Medicago truncatula: one gene and its partner. The protein of the gene in region 1 interacts with the protein of each later gene in a pairwise test. Links are inferred from orthologs where the notes say so. Each region holds a gene or a part of one and is shown on either strand. Other genes may lie near its edges.

Region 1 (9,133 bases):
AATGCATTTCATGTTTAAAAAATCTAATATTTTATAAATTGGAACTCGCTCATATAGCAAAGGAAGAAAATATCTTTAACCTCTAATTTAATATTAATTACTTCGTCCATAATCATAATATTGTTTTTGCAATTTTGCTTGTCCCTAAATATAAAAAAAATTTCGGGCTTCAGCCCTCTTTGTTATAAAAATATATATAATTTTTCACATTATTAGATATATTTATTACATTTTTTATAGTATATCTTTTTTTTATGATAGAAGAAAATTATAAAAGATGATGTTTGTTTCAAGTTATATTTGGAGATTCCTGAGAATATGATAGTGGAAAGAAATATTCCTATGTTTGTTTTTAATTTTTATAATTATTCCTTCCTGGGAATAGAAGTTTCTTGAAAATGTTGTCTTGTTCCTAAGAAAATTGGGAGGAATAAAGTTTTCATGAAGCTGGGAATAAAATCATTAATTACTATCCAGAACTATCGCTTTATCAGTCATTCCCATGAATACTTTAAATACTAACCAAACACATTTTCTCAGTAAACCTGAAAATACAGTTCTCATCCTTATATTCACAAGAAAATTATTCCCATGATTATATTTTGTAAACTTGAAACAAAGACCCCCTAAGGAACTAACCTAGGGACTCGACATCTCACTCAATCAAAACGAAGCTTAAGAGCCAAAGAAGGACAAAAGATTGAAGAGGTCCTCCATTAGAAAGAACCACGGTGACCCAAGTTAGCAAGAAAATCAACGCAAGAGTTAGCTCCCTATAAATATGCTTCAATGAGACCTTTCAATCCATAAGATAGACAAGAAAAAGAATGTCGAATATATGGATTTGAAGAGCCGCGGTGTGAGATGAAGTGAGTTGAACAATTTGTATAAAGACCCAAGAATCACATTCCACAAGAAGGGAAATAATACCCTGATCCCAAAAGGTTTTAAGACCATATTAAAGAGACCTCAAAGCTCAACATAAATAGCGGTGGAGGTTTTTTTTTTTTTTTGGGTTACAAAATTTTAGGGTGAGGGGATGGTGCCCCAGTCTAAGGTAGGGAAGACCTTCGAGCTCAAAGAGCACTTACAAAGGTATTTACATTTACCTCCCTTCAAAGGCACTAGTGAGGCTCGAACCCGGATTCTCTCGGATTCAAGACCTGTCATTTTATAGGAGTGGAGGTTTTAATATTACAACACAAGATTCTTATTATGGGATTTTTAAATTGTGAGATTTTTAAATTTGTGATATTTGTTTTCTCAATTTAAATTGATAGATATATTTTTTTTCTCAACAAGAAAAAGTTGTGAGATTGTTTTCTCAAAAAAATCGACTGAGATCTCATTTTCTGAATTTTAAAAAAATATTTAATAAGTATTTTTTGTCAATTTAAATTGATAGTAAACATCTTATGGAATAAGTTCATAAAAAGTAAACTCGAAGATTCATTCTTTCAAAGTATAAAATTAACTCTATAACACTTTGAGAGAAGGCAACAGAAGTGTTGATTGGCTTGCTAACTTCAGCCTTACCATGGATTCATGGAATTTTACTATTTTGGAGACCCCTCCTAGTGAGCTCAATAGTCTCCTCTTTGATGACATCTCTGGTGCTTGTATGCCTAGAAATGTTCGTGTAATTGTTTAATTTTCTCTTTTGGGCTTCGGCCCTCTCTTGTACCAAAAAAAAAAATTAACTCTATAACTAATACTTATGTGATCTTAACTTCTAAATTTTACTTTAGAATTAATAAATCATATATGTTGAAAAATGGATTCTAATTTTTTTGCCTGCCCCCGACACCGACACTAATCCGACGTGAATTCATTGTTAGCGTCAGTTTTTGCCTGGTTAAAGTGGGTTTTTGGCCGACTTTAAACACTGTTTTCTTGTAGGGCCAGGGGTGGCAAATAAAGTTGCTTCCAATCCTTAATCCACCCCACCCATATATCAACGTTAACCAAGCTATTACCTTGTTATATAATAAATTCATTCAACAACCAACACCAACCATATATTTGGTTACAAACTGCTACATTCAAAACTAGACAAAACAACTCGATGGTATGTTTCCATCAACGATGCTTAATTCAGCCGCAAATTTTTATTTTTTTTTAGGAAACCACAAACTTATAATTTACAAAAACTAAATATTCACATACTTAATTTTATATATAACTTAAGACATGTCCCTAAATTCCATATGATGCTATTCAAAAAGACTAGTTTTGTTCTTAAATATGCTTTGGTGACATAAAATTATATTATTGAGGGGTGGATGCTAACTTGTATAAGACCATGAACCTTTGTGATGCAATGATTGTTGTTAATGAGTCTCACATCAAATAAAATATGACTTAAATATATGTTTATAAGTAGGAGCAATCTTCATCCAACAAACAAAAAGGAACAGTGATGAAGTAGAAGGATTTTGCAGTTTCAACTAAATATCTGAATGAACTAGAGCAAAAAATGACGCAACATTTTTAGGCAATTGAAAAGGAACATTGTGATGAAGTAAAAGGGTTCTTGCGGTTTCAACTAAATTTGAATGAACTAGAGCAAAAAAGGATGCGACACTTTTAGGCAATCGATGATCCACTTATGAAATCATATTATGTATTTTCAACCAAAAATGAAATCTTATTTCTATTTTATAACTTTTAATTGATTCATTTGCATTTTTATTTCCATGGTAATAGTAATTGATAATTTTTTATTACTTCTATAGTTCTAATTCAACAACTATTAAATCGTGTTCTTAAGGGTGGTTCAAAATCCAAGTCAAAGAATTCACGTTTGAATTTCATCGAAAATGGAGATATCCTTTTATGTGTGTGATCATTGGCTTCAGGTTTTTTTTTTTAAGAGGCTACAATGAAATATATTACCACATCAAAAGGTCCTCCCTAACATAAGATATGCCAAGGAAAAGACACCAAAGTCAAAACAAATATTTACAAGGGAAAACCAAAACAGTGACTAAAGAAAGCAAATAACTATTAGCCTATGCCAAAAATAGTGAAATGACTAAGCCACCAGCCATGATAGTTGAAGGGAAGAGAAGGAAATTTCGCCTTCAGCCACATGAAAGTCAGCGACTTAATTTTATCAACCACCTGCATAATTGAGCACTCTTTGCCATTAAAGAGCATGTTATTTCTTTCTTTCCAAATTTTCCACGTAGTTGCATACCAAAGAACCTGTAAAATTGATCGTCGTGCCTTTGTGACACCGCCATCAACAGTGAAGGGAATTACCGTCGACAAACCCAACCACCTGGAGATATAGTGCCAAATCGAACCAAATATATTACAATGTAAAAATAAATGTGCTGAAGTCTCTTCGGACCCACAGCCAGCAACACACATCCAGGAATCATTAGGAATCACTCCACAACGAAGAAGGTTATCCTTAGTTGGCAACCTATCACGAAACATACGCCAAGCAAACAAAACGACCTTCAAAGGGACATCTTTATTCCAAAGAGAGGACACCGCCACCATAGAAACAAACGGAGGTTGAAAAGTGAGCAAATTATAAGCACTACGGACGAAATAGACATGAGATGTTTCCAAATTCCATAGCCACCTATCAACTTTATCAACCTGCAAAGTCACACCGTGAAATAATAATTTAAATTCCTCCACCAACTCTTCTTCCCACGCAAACAGCCCCCCTCCTCCAACTTCACGCTTGCCCCTCATCCCCCATCCCCCATCCTAACTCACACATCATCAATAATAACTTATGTACTCTTTTGAGGATTTTGTTTTGTATGGGATGGTATTTGTTTGTTTTTTCTTGAGGTTTGATTTTGATTGTATATTTAGTGAGTTGTAATTGTTTTATTCATGTTAAAGAGTCGTTGGATGAGAGATAACATGAACAATTGTTTATAAGTGAAAGCGAATTTTACCTCACAAATTGATTTTAGGAGAATGAATTATCTCTAGTATAAAAATCTAAGGTGATATTAAAACCTTTTCCAAGATCTGTCTTGATCGAACCACCTACCATTTATATCTATGCATCAAGTCTAATAGTATTGGATGCGATAGGCTGTGTTAAATACTATCATATTTGATGAAAAATGACATAAACAAGTGTTTCTAAATATGGATAACCATCATCTCACAAATCAGTTTTGTACTATGGGCTAGAGCAAATATAAAAACTTAAGAATCCATGAATGATACACTTTGTATCTTGGATAATAAGTATTTATTAGAGAAATGATATTTGTACAACCACTTTATGACAACTTTTTCTTTCATACTCACATTATCCTCTTATTTTCTCTCTTTCTTTTTCTCTCCATAGTTTTTAACCAATAAAAAGAGAGAAAAAAAATTATCACAAAAAATTGTATGAAATAGTTGTTCAAATATCACTACTCTATTTATTAATATCATTTGTTGGTCTTTTGTGAAAGAGAGATAAATTTTAGAAATAAAAAAAGAAAAAACTTATATAGTATTGAATCTCATGTGTCAATGTAAACTTTGTTATTTAACGTGGATTGATTGGACTAAATTAGATTGGAAGCTCGAAAGGAAGGTTAACGTTGGGTCCCTCGTCGGTCACTCACTGACTCACATATTATATTATTATACATATACTCCATTATTATTATTTCAACGCCAGTTTTAAAAATATCATCAATATCCAATAGAGATATTAACGCCAAGTGTATGTTGCACTATTGTGTTTTGTGTTCCTATCCAAATCCAATCAAAATGGAAAAGACAGAGCTTGACAAAGTAAGTAGATAGAAAGAAAGAAAAAATGAACAAGATACGAAACAAGAAAAGAAGTAAACAAAATTCAATCCAACAATGTGACTCTGAGTGATTTAACCCTCTTTCTTTATCTCATAAGGGATTAACTGGGTCCTGTTTGTGGTCCCCCAATTGTTTGTCCCTATTCTTTTTTCCCTTATCTTAAATCTTAATAATAATGTACATGCAGATTTCATTTTGTACCATTACCCCATTTCCCACTGCTGGCTTGTTGCCTTTTACAGAAATCCAAACCATCCCTCATTTTCAAACCATCTCTCACACACACAATTTTGGATCTTAGTTACTCTTAATCGATGTTTGATATCATCGTGGATATGTCAAACTGTGATTTTACAAAAGTTATCGGTGTAATATCAAACACAAACTTAATGGTGAAAAAATCATCATGACTTTAATGTATGATAAGAAAAAATAAACAAAAATGATAAATAAGATGAGGAAAAGACGTACATCTTTTAAAGATAGCGGATCCAGATCACACGATTTTAAAATAAGAGAATATTAAAAAATGTCTTGTAAATATTGTTTAAGCAATCAAAATATATAAATTTCCTTAAAAATTTATACAATTGTTATTTAATAAAAAAAAATTATATTTTTAAGATAAAATTTCTATTTATAAATTTTTTAACAAATACTCAAAGAGACATGGTTAGTAAAACCCTTTAAAATTTAGTGAGCTACATACATCGTATTCACGTGGCTATGCATCACCCAACCAACAAAGTGTTTTCAATCTTATGACTAATAATAGCCATACCATACCCATCAATACCCATTATCAATCAAGCATATGATATCATCCTCTACCATACACAATACAATAAAATAAAATAAAAATGTAATAAAAACATTACTCTTTATAACATCTCAGAAACTGCCACAAATATCACTCACTAGATTTCATTGATTGATACTCAATACCCCAATCACCTTACCTCTATAAATTTCCTTCATACATATTCCTAAAAAGAAGAAAGTAGTTATTTTCGTGAGAATTTCTTACCGGTGATGGTAGGAAACAACTCAGCAACCACCGTCAGCCACCTACCGGAGGAGATTTTATCGAAAGTCTTCACCGGAATAACTGACACACGAACTCGAAACTCACTCTCCTTAGTATGTCATAGCTTCTTCAAGTTAGAGAGAAAAACGCGATTATCCCTCACGCTCCGAGGAAACGCGCGTGACTTATACAGAATTCCAACTTCCTTCACGAACGTTACTCATCTCGATGTATCACTTCTCTCGCCGTGGGGTCACGCGCTGTTCTGTTCACCTGCTGGTAATGATTCTCCGCTTCTAGCTCAACGGTTACGAAATACTTTCCCGCGCGTGACTTCACTCACTGTCTACGTGCGTGACCCGCACACGCTTCACCTTCTTCTCTTCAACCACTGGCCGGAGCTTCGTGATGTTCGGCTTGTTCGGTGGCATCAACGGCCGCAGGGGTTGCAACCGGGGTCAGACTTCGACGCCTTGTTCTCACGGTGCCGATCGATTACTTCACTTGATCTTTCATCGTTCTATCACTGGCCGGAGGATCTTCCACCGGTTTTGGCGGAGAATACTACCACAGCCGCCTCACTCCGTCGTTTGAATCTCTTAACGACGTCGTTCACGGAGGGGTTCAAGTCTAACCAAATCGAATCCATCACTTCATCTTGCCCTAATCTGGAACACTTTCTTGTTGCATGCACTTTTGATCCGAGATACATCGGTTTTGTCGGTGACGAAACTTTATTGGCCGTCGCTTCTAATTGTCCTAAGCTGAAACTTCTTCACATGGCTGATACGTCGTCGTTTTCGAATCGGAGAGAGGAAGAAGGTGTAGAGGATGCTAGGGTGAGTCGTGCCACGCTTGTAGCGTTGTTCACTGGGTTGCCTCTTCTGGAAGAATTGGTGCTAGATGTTTGTAAAAATGTCACCGAGACTAGTTTTGCTTTGGAGATGTTGAGTTCTAAATGTCCTAATTTGAAGGTTGTGAAGTTGGGTCAGTTTCAGGGGATTTGTTTGGCAATTGGGTCACGGCTTGACGGAATTGCGCTTTGCCATGGGCTTCAATCGTTGTCTGTTAACACGTGTGGTGATCTTGATGATATGGGGTTGATTGAGATTGGGAGAGGGTGTTCACGGTTGGTGAGATTTGAGATTCAGGGTTGTAAGCTTGTTACTGAAAAAGGGTTGAGGACTATGGCGTGTTTGCTTCGAAGGACTTTGATTGATGTTAAGGTTGCTTCATGTGTCAACCTGGATGCGGCTGCTACTCTTAGAGCTTTGGAGCCTATTCGGGACCGGATTGAGCGGCTTCACTTGGATTGTATATGGAAAGAAAGTGATAACTTCGGACAAGGTTTGTTCAACTTTGATCTGAACACTTTGGATGAACTGAACGGTTCAGAGTTAATGGATTGCTTTGGAGGTGAGGAATGTGGAGAAGACACAAGCATGAGGAAGAGGCAAAGGTGTGAGTATGGATTGGAGGCTGATGATTTGTTTGTGCAAAGCAATGGCAATGGTAACGGCAATGGATACTATGGCTATAGCTGGGATAGGTTGGAGTATCTTTCTCTTTGGATAAAGGTTGGTGAACTTTTGACTCAGTTGCCAGTAGCAGGGTTGGAGGATTGCCCCAATCTAGAAGAGATTCGTATAAAAGTCGAAGGAGATTGCAGAGGACAGCCCAAACCGGCAGTGCGCGAATTTGGTTTGAGCATTCTAGCTTGTTATCCTCAGTTGTCAAAGATGCAGCTGGATTGTGGCGATACAAAAGGTTATGTATACACAGCGCCTTCCGGCCAATTGGATTTGAGTTGGTGGGAGAGGTTCTTCCTTAATGGGATCGGTAGCTTGAGTCTAAATGAACTTCATTACTGGCCACCACAAGATGAGGATGTGAACCAGAGGAGTCTGTCTCTTCCAGCTGCTGGCCTGTTGCAAGAATGCTATACTTTGAGGAAGCTTTTCATTCATGGAACAACTCATGAACACTTCATGAACTACTTCCTCAAAATACCAAATCTGAGAGATGTTCAGCTGAGAGAGGATTACTATCCAGCACCAGAGAATGACATGAGTACAGAGATGAGGGTAGGATCATGCATTCGCTTTGAAGATGCGTTGAATAGGCGTCAAATATGTGACTGATCAAGTGTAATGTTTGCTAGGATGCAATAAACAAGAGAAAAAAGAGGATAGTTCTTAAGGCTATAGGGCTTGTTAATTGTTATTGCCAATTATTAACATCAATTACGGCTTTGGTAGATTATTTGTCACTTTCCTCTTTTGACACCGTAAAATCGTGGGACTCCAGTTGGATTTTTGTTTGAGTCTCAAATGTAACCATTCTACCCTCGGCTATTTTGTTATTTTCGTGGAATAAATATGCGCGAGAGATTACATGCATCTTCTCTCACAAGAACTTAAATTATCAAGGTAACCAAAAAAAAAAAAAAGAACTTAAATTATAAGGTAAAAAAAGTTGAAATTATTATGAGAAACTTTTTTTGACAAGTAGATTATTATGAGAAACTTATATACGATTTGTTTTTTGAGTCTTCTAGCAAGAGCTCTTTGTATTTAAACTTATATCTTAGGTTAGAATCTGATGCATAGCTATGCATGTGAAAATACAGAATTTTTTTAAAACCCAAGGTAGGTCCGTTTAGTGTAAAAAACAACAAAAAATTACTGTCTGAATTTCTATCACAGTTGATTAAATTATAATATGTACCCCAACATATTTTGGAATTCTTACTGATAAAATGGATATATGTGTTTAGTTCCATACATGTACCAGCACCGAGCATCACTATTTTAGAGAGCCGGATCCTCTCCTTCACTCTCTCCATCCTCTCTATCTCTCTTCTTTTATCGCTTTTTTAGCATTCAATTCTCTATTCTCTCTCATCCCTCCTGTGTAATGTGAAGGAAAGGATCCGAACACCTATTTTAGGTACAACCGAGCTTCATAGGTTAAAATTAAGCATGTGTTTGAAAGAATGGAAGCCAGTAGGATTCGACTGTTCAGTATATTGAATATTCTGTCATGAATTACTTCTTTCAAAATTTTCAACCATTAAATGAAAGGTCAACCATATTTTGTGTGATTAAAGAGATGGATAAAAAAAAGCCATTGCTTCTTTTCCTTCTCTTTACATTGCTTCACATAAGAGACGATTCAAGAAATGCACGAATGCACGCACATTTTAACATGTTTTCAGGACATATAATTCATATAAGTTTACAACATCAGCCGAAAATACAATGTGATAACTCAACCCAAAGTTCACTATGTACAAAAGGTAATTGCTGCATCAAGACA
Region 2 (6,800 bases), on another chromosome or scaffold:
TGCACTAGAAGGGTGGACTAGAACCCAGACCACTACAACACAAAACTGAAGGAACAAGAAACGCCCAACACCAGGCTGCTAACACAGCAACACGAACCAGCCCACAAAAAGAAGCAGAAAGCAGACCCTAATACCCCTCAACCCAACACAGCAAAACCGCTGCAAAAAAAAAAAAAAGGGAACCAAATAGAACCCCTGATGCCCATCAAAAACCAGTTCGCACCTCACTAGGTGAGTAGCTATTTGTGAAGGCAGCAAAACCAGTAAAAATCCAGCTGAATAGAAACTCATTAGGGAGATTCTAAGCTTAACATGAAATTCACATGCATTCAGCAGTGCTTGTGTAATAAGCCGATACAGTAAAAAGCAAATATAATAATAGAACCTAAAACAAAACTTAATTTCAGAGTGCATCAATCAGAACATGTATAATTTTGTCTAAAAAATTTAGTTACTTTAATTGCATAGTATTATTGACTTCAAAACAAAGATTAACAAAGTAACTAAATTATGATACGACATATCAATCAACAATCACCACCAATTGAGGTTCATAAACAAACCCTAAAATTTTCAAATTTAAATTTAAATTTCAGAACATAACAAAAATCACTACCTCAAAAGTCAAAAACCATACCCAAATTCACTTGAACTCAATAATCTTTACCTCACTCTCAAAATCCAGTTAAAGGAAACATCAAATTTAAACATATTGTAATTAAACCACCGGTAATCTAATATACTTACACTAATTATAACCACCGGTAGCTATCATGTCACTAGTGCCACAAGAACAAAATATAGTTCTTGACAAAAGACATGGCCGGCCATGAAATTAGTGCTCAAAATAAGGCAGAGGAGCACCAAACCTCTCAAGAACCCTCACCTCACTGATCACCACAAATTCATTCAAGTAACAAATATCCCCCAACCCAACACAACAAAGCCACTGCTAAAAAAAAAAGAACCAAACAGAACCACAGAACCCCTACGGCCCCTCAAAAACCAGTTCACACCTCACTAAGTGAGTAGCCATTTGTGAAGGCAACAAAACACAGTGAAAATCTAGCTGAATAGAAACTCATTAGGGAGATTATAAGCTTAAAAGACAATAACCAAACCCTATTTCACACGTACTCAAAATAAGGCAGAGAAGGCGAATCAACCCTCTCAAAAACCTTCACCTCACTAATCAACACAAATTTGTTGGTAACAAACAATTGAAATTCAAGCAATCACACACCAAACAAAGAACATTCATTTAAACTCAACATAATTAAACAACTAATAATCTACTGTACTTACATTAATCATAACAACATTAAAAAAATATCATTAACATTATAATAAAAGTCTACCGCTAAACTTATTACATATGATTATCAATTTCAAAACAGCCATAAACCAGATAACTCTTATAAATACTTCATTAGTATCATAGCTAATAAGCAACCAACATCAATCAAGGTTCAAACCAAACCCTAATTTTCTCAAATTTAAATTTTCAAAACACAAATTCACTACCTCAAAACTCTAATTCATAATCACTTATACTCAAAATTCGGCACAGGAGGCGCATCAAAACTCTCCAAAACCTTCACCTCACTTCCACCACCACCAATCTTCTCTTCCTCCTTCTGTCCAAAAATTCCACCAAATCCACCAAACCACGGCTTCCCACCTTTGTTTTCCTCCGAATTTGCATTTGAATTCGAATTCTCTGGCGGCATATCCTCGATCATCATCGGCAAAGGCTGTTGAGCACTCAAAAACTTATTCAAAGCAATACCAGCCCCCTCAATCAACGCTAAAAGCACACCACCAAATGCCGCTGATCGCGCAGAAGCAGCTAAACCCTGACGCATAGCAAGAAAACCACCAGTAGCAGCACCAGCAACAATAGAATTCCACGGATCTTCCTTTTGTCTCACGTAAACCATAGTACAATCAAAAGTTGAGAATAAACCACCCCAAACAGCGAAACTACCACCGATTCGAGGTGCGTTGAGACGAACAGCTTGTGTTGCGCCGGTGAAACGTGCTCCTTTGGGGGAATTGTAGAGACCTTTGAGAAAGTGGAAGGCGGAGCCACCGACGGCACCCATACCAAACGCGCCGCCGATGTCGTCGAGGATGCGATCGGGACAAGGCTCGCGTGAGGTTTCAGGTGTTCCCATGTTTTGATTGATTTGATCGAAAAGTGAATTTGGGTATTAGGGTTTTGGTGCGTGAGAGGAGAAAGAGAGAGAACAAAAGAATGAAGTAAAGAGGGTCGAAGTTCTCTTTTTATACGCCGACTAATAATGTTAAAATTATTTTAGATTTTAGATATCAATCTTTTTTATCAAGCAATGGGAAATTTTGTTTTTTTTTTAGAATCAACGGGAAATGTTTTAGATATTTTGTTTTTGCATACCTATTGGAAAAAAAAAAAATATATATATATATATATATGATTATTAATTCTTGGTTTAAATGTGTCCATTGATCCAAGCACTTTTTTTGTTTGGCATTGGTCCCTGCACTTTGTAAAAATATTGGTATTGGTCCCTCTGTTAACTTTCTGTTAAAAAAAAAAAACACAAAATCAACGGAATGCCACCTGGCCCAATCATTTCACGCCACGTGGCACCAATATCAATATTTTTACAAAGTGCACTGACCAATTCCAAACAAAAAAAAGTGTAGGGACCAATGCCAAAATCTGATGAAAGTGTAAGGACTAAAGGCATATTTAAACCTTAATTCTTTCTTTCCATGAGATTCTTGCACGATTTATTTTTTAAAAATGTGTTTTTGTTCGAATTTTATAATCATAAGGTGTTTTGATTTATGGAATCCTAACAATGTAAAAATTGAAGGCAGGCATGCAACATGACTTATGCTTGCCCAAATTTCTATAACAATCGTTTGAAATATATAAACCGAAATTTTTTCACAATGTGTTGAAAGTATGATTTTAAACATAGTTTTTGGGCCCATTTTTATTTTTATGATCGGGAAAACTAGCTTTTAAAAGGCGGGGGAACACTTGGATTATGGAATCTGAAACCTTCGAATATAAAGGTTTGCCAAAAACCTAACAAAATGTCACCACCTTTATCACTAAACACTCCTCACATCTCAAAAAAAAACACACCATTTTGGGCGAAAGTGTGATTTGGAGTAGCAATTTGGTCATCAAGGGGCGTCAACAACATCATTTTCGTTTGAATGCATAGATAATGTTCCTATAAGACCTTCCTCGTTCGATTTCTAGGCGCTTTCCTCTTGATCACGTCAACAATATGGTTTGACTTATATAATCTGAAACACACCATTGCAGACATTGTCCAGTTTGTTACCATGATTTTGCATTGTTTTTAGTAATGGACGCTCTCATTAATATCTCATAGGCTCTTACATTGGCTCCTGACATTGAAACTCCTATTATGTTGCTAATTATTTCACCTGAAAATTTGGATGATACCGTCAATGTCAAAGTCGAGGATCCCCCACCTCTAGTCGATATTCCTTCTGAGGATGCGAAAGTGAAGGGTGCTCCTCCACCTGGTGTGCCTCCAGCTGATACTCATCCAATTGTTGGACCTATTGTTGTTTCTATTGATCATCAGGAAAATTTTACCACTAAAGTAAAGTTTGCTACACATAACGATTTGTTGAGTGGATTCGAAAATAAGTAGGGAGGCTAGGATTTTCAACTGTTATTAAAAAGTCAAATAAGGGTGGAAATGGCATAAATGTATTTGTTACGTTATATGTGAAAAGGGAGGTTCGTATACTGAGTACAAGAAGTTGTGCATGTGTAAGATATATGGGAAATACAACGAAAAACGTAGTTGAATATGCGCACAGTCAGTTGAAAAAGTATTTGACTAGTAGTATGGGATGTTTGTGTATGAATTGGTCATTCGTTCACAACATGTTAGAATCGCAACATACTCAAATACATGTGTTGTTCTATATGAGTATGATCATGCTTAAAACAGTTTCACGGGAAAGTTGTCGTGGTCTAAGTTGATTGGAAACATATCAAAGAATGTTTTGCATTATATATCGCAAACAAATCTGATCGAGCAGTTGAGTGTGGTACAGATAAATCCAAACATGGTTGCTTAGTTTTCATCACATGTGAATTGTCGTGTGCATGCACCACTGCTAAAAATACAAAGAACACCTGTAACGCCCTAGTTGTTTATTTAATTAATTTGAATTATGTGGAGTATATGTATTTTTATATATGATGTTTGGTAATTTATGCGGAGTATATATATATATATATATATATTTATATATATATATGTGATTTTTGGGTGTCTTATGTGGTGTATTATTTTATTATATAGTTTATTTAATAATAATTAATATAAGTATGAAATAATAATTATTTTGGAGTTTGGGGAGTTATTTAATAGTTATTAAAGTTAATGGGGAGTTAAATGAAAATATAGGGAGTTAAGTAATGGGAAGTTAGGAAAAGAAAGAGGAGAAGCAGTTGTACGTAAGAACTGACAAGTTGGGAGAAAAAGGGGAGAAGACCAAGTTAGAGCCAAGAGTGAATTTGCTGCACATTTCTTCTTCAATTTCTAAGGTAAGGGTGAGGTTTACTTCAATAGTGTAGATTTTAAAGTCTGATTTGAGTTTAACAGGTTTTTGGATTGAAATTGAGGAATTGGGTTTTAATTGAATTTATGGTTTTTGGGGTAGATATTGCTATTCTGATGTTAGAATTTGGTTTTGGTTGCATAGAAACATTCATTTCTCATCTGTAAACTGATTTGGGGAGTGATTGGAAGGAAAATGGGATTTTTGGGAAAAACCAGTTTTCTGCCCGTACAGAAGTTCATCGCTCGCCTCGCGAGTAGCTGTGCTCGCCATGGCGAGTGAGCAACTTCATAGCTCGCCTCGCGAGCAGTCCAACTCGCCATGGCGAGTAGCCCATAATAAAACTTGATTTTTGAAAAGTTGTTATAAGATGTTTTGGGGATGGTTTAAGGTACCTAGATGATTTTTATGATGAATGGTGAAAGTTTTAGGTTAAAAAGATGAATAGGGAACTTAGAATTTGGATTTGAGTGAGAAAATGGCATTTTTCCCGAGAGCTCCTGATTTTCACTCGCCTAGAGTTCGCCTTGAACTCGCCACGGCGAGCTACTGTTTTTGTGAACTCGCCATGGCGAGCAGATGTGCTCGCAAGGCGAGTTGCACTGTTTATGAGTGTTGAATTGCTTGCATGATTAGTAGTGGTTGGTGTTGTTGTATTTGAGCATGGTTGTATATAATTATACATTATTTTGGTTGATTGGATTGTTGGATTGATGAATACTGATGATGGTTGAAATGTATGTTATTTATTGAATCATACATATTATTATAGTAGAGTCACATGGAGTTGCATTGCATGGTCAGTTGTATGTAGATATACACAAGTAGGTCCATTACATATGCATAAAACAGCGGTGAGGGCTTCGGTCCTGGAGTACTAGTTGCTCAACAGCGGTGAGGGCTTCGGTCCTGATGAATGCTTTAACCATTCAAAAGCGGTGAGGGCTTCGGTCCTATTTGGTACCACATGCATATTGCATTTCATTAAGAAGTCTAAGATGGTGTCTTAGCAGTGGTCATGTCATTTGCATGAGTCTTGGTTGTTGATGTCGGTTATTTTCTGATGGATGATGTTGGTGTTGAATATGCATTTATATATATATATTCATTGTGATCATGGGTATTGTTGATGTTGTTGTTACTTGTGACTTATACATATATTTGTTTACAAGATAAAGTGTTGTTGGTTAGGGTGTTAGATTCAATTGATGATTTTAATATATATATTTATTGTTGTGAATCTCACCCCTTCTGCTTGAAAATGTTGCCCTTCCTATGGGTAACTTGCAGGTGATCCTGAGTAGTAGGTGGTGGCTCAAAGTCGTGTTTAGGGCTCTGATACGTGGGATGGGATTTATCATTTTTATTATTGTTGCTTTTCCTTTCCATGTATCAAATTTTGGAACTTATGGTGTGGAGCCTTTTGTTGTCTTTGAACTATGATGTTGAATTATGTTAAGGCCTTTAATGCCTTAGACTATTGTTGGATGTTCATGTGGTTATGGATTATGAAAACTATTCCGCTGCTATGTTTTCATAAATAATAAGTTGCTTGATTAAATAGTTTTATTTTCTATTTAAGAAATTTTGAAATGACGTGTAGCATGCCCGTTGTGGAACTACTCTGATGTATATTTGCTATTTAATTGCTTTTGGGTAACGGGGTGTTACAATTTGGTATCAGAGCCGGTTGGTCCGTCCGGCCAACTAGTAGAGTCGTGTTGAGCCACCTAGGATAGAGTGTCAACTTTAATATTGTTTTTTTTGTTGTTGTTCTGAGTTGTTGTTTGTCGTGTAGAATCTCGAGATGACTGGAAGTAGTGATGCTGCCCTTGTTGCTGCGCTTGAGGCTGTAGCTCAAGTTGTTCAACAGCAACCTAAGGTTGAGACTGGTAGTGATGGAACCAGGATGCTAGAGACTTTCTTGAGGAATCATCCACCAACATTCAAGGGTAGGTATGCTCCTGATGGTGCTCAGAAGTGGCTGAAGGAGATTGAAAGAATATTCCGAGTCATGCAGTGTTCTGAGACACAGAAGGTGCGGTTTGGGACGCACATGTTAGCTGAGGAGGCCGATGATTGGTGGATTAGTTTGTTGCCTGTTCTGGAGCAGGATGATGCTGTGGTAACCTGGGCCATGTTCAGGAAGGAGTTGCTGGGCAGGTATTTTCCAGAGGATGTCAGGGGTAAGAAAG

What was found. The genes of interacting proteins can lie anywhere in the genome.
Region 2: the proteins of F-box protein MAX2 (region 1) and mitochondrial import inner membrane translocase subunit TIM17-2 interact in binary tests that used the Arabidopsis thaliana proteins (3 or more experiments, as listed by UniProt). The link is inferred for Medicago truncatula from reciprocal best matches to the Arabidopsis thaliana genes MAX2 and TIM17-2.

What each region holds. Positions count from the first base shown.
Region 1 is NC_053045.1:38,925,615-38,934,747, forward strand, and holds F-box protein MAX2, read left to right. Parts: upstream 1-5,593; 5' UTR 5,594-5,820; coding exon 5,821-7,956; 3' UTR 7,957-8,214; downstream 8,215-9,133. Other genes in the region: serine/threonine-protein kinase EDR1, read right to left, coding at 9,126-9,133. UniProt on the Arabidopsis thaliana protein: Component of SCF(ASK-cullin-F-box) E3 ubiquitin ligase complexes, which may mediate the ubiquitination and subsequent proteasomal degradation of target proteins. Promotes the senescence. Is necessary for responses to strigolactones and karrikins.
Region 2 is NC_053047.1:41,354,146-41,360,945, reverse strand, and holds mitochondrial import inner membrane translocase subunit TIM17-2, read right to left. Parts: upstream 2,310-6,800; 5' UTR 2,178-2,309; coding exon 1,545-2,177; 3' UTR 1,238-1,544; downstream 1-1,237. UniProt on the Arabidopsis thaliana protein: Essential component of the TIM17:23 complex, a complex that mediates the translocation of transit peptide-containing proteins across the mitochondrial inner membrane. Links the inner and outer membranes.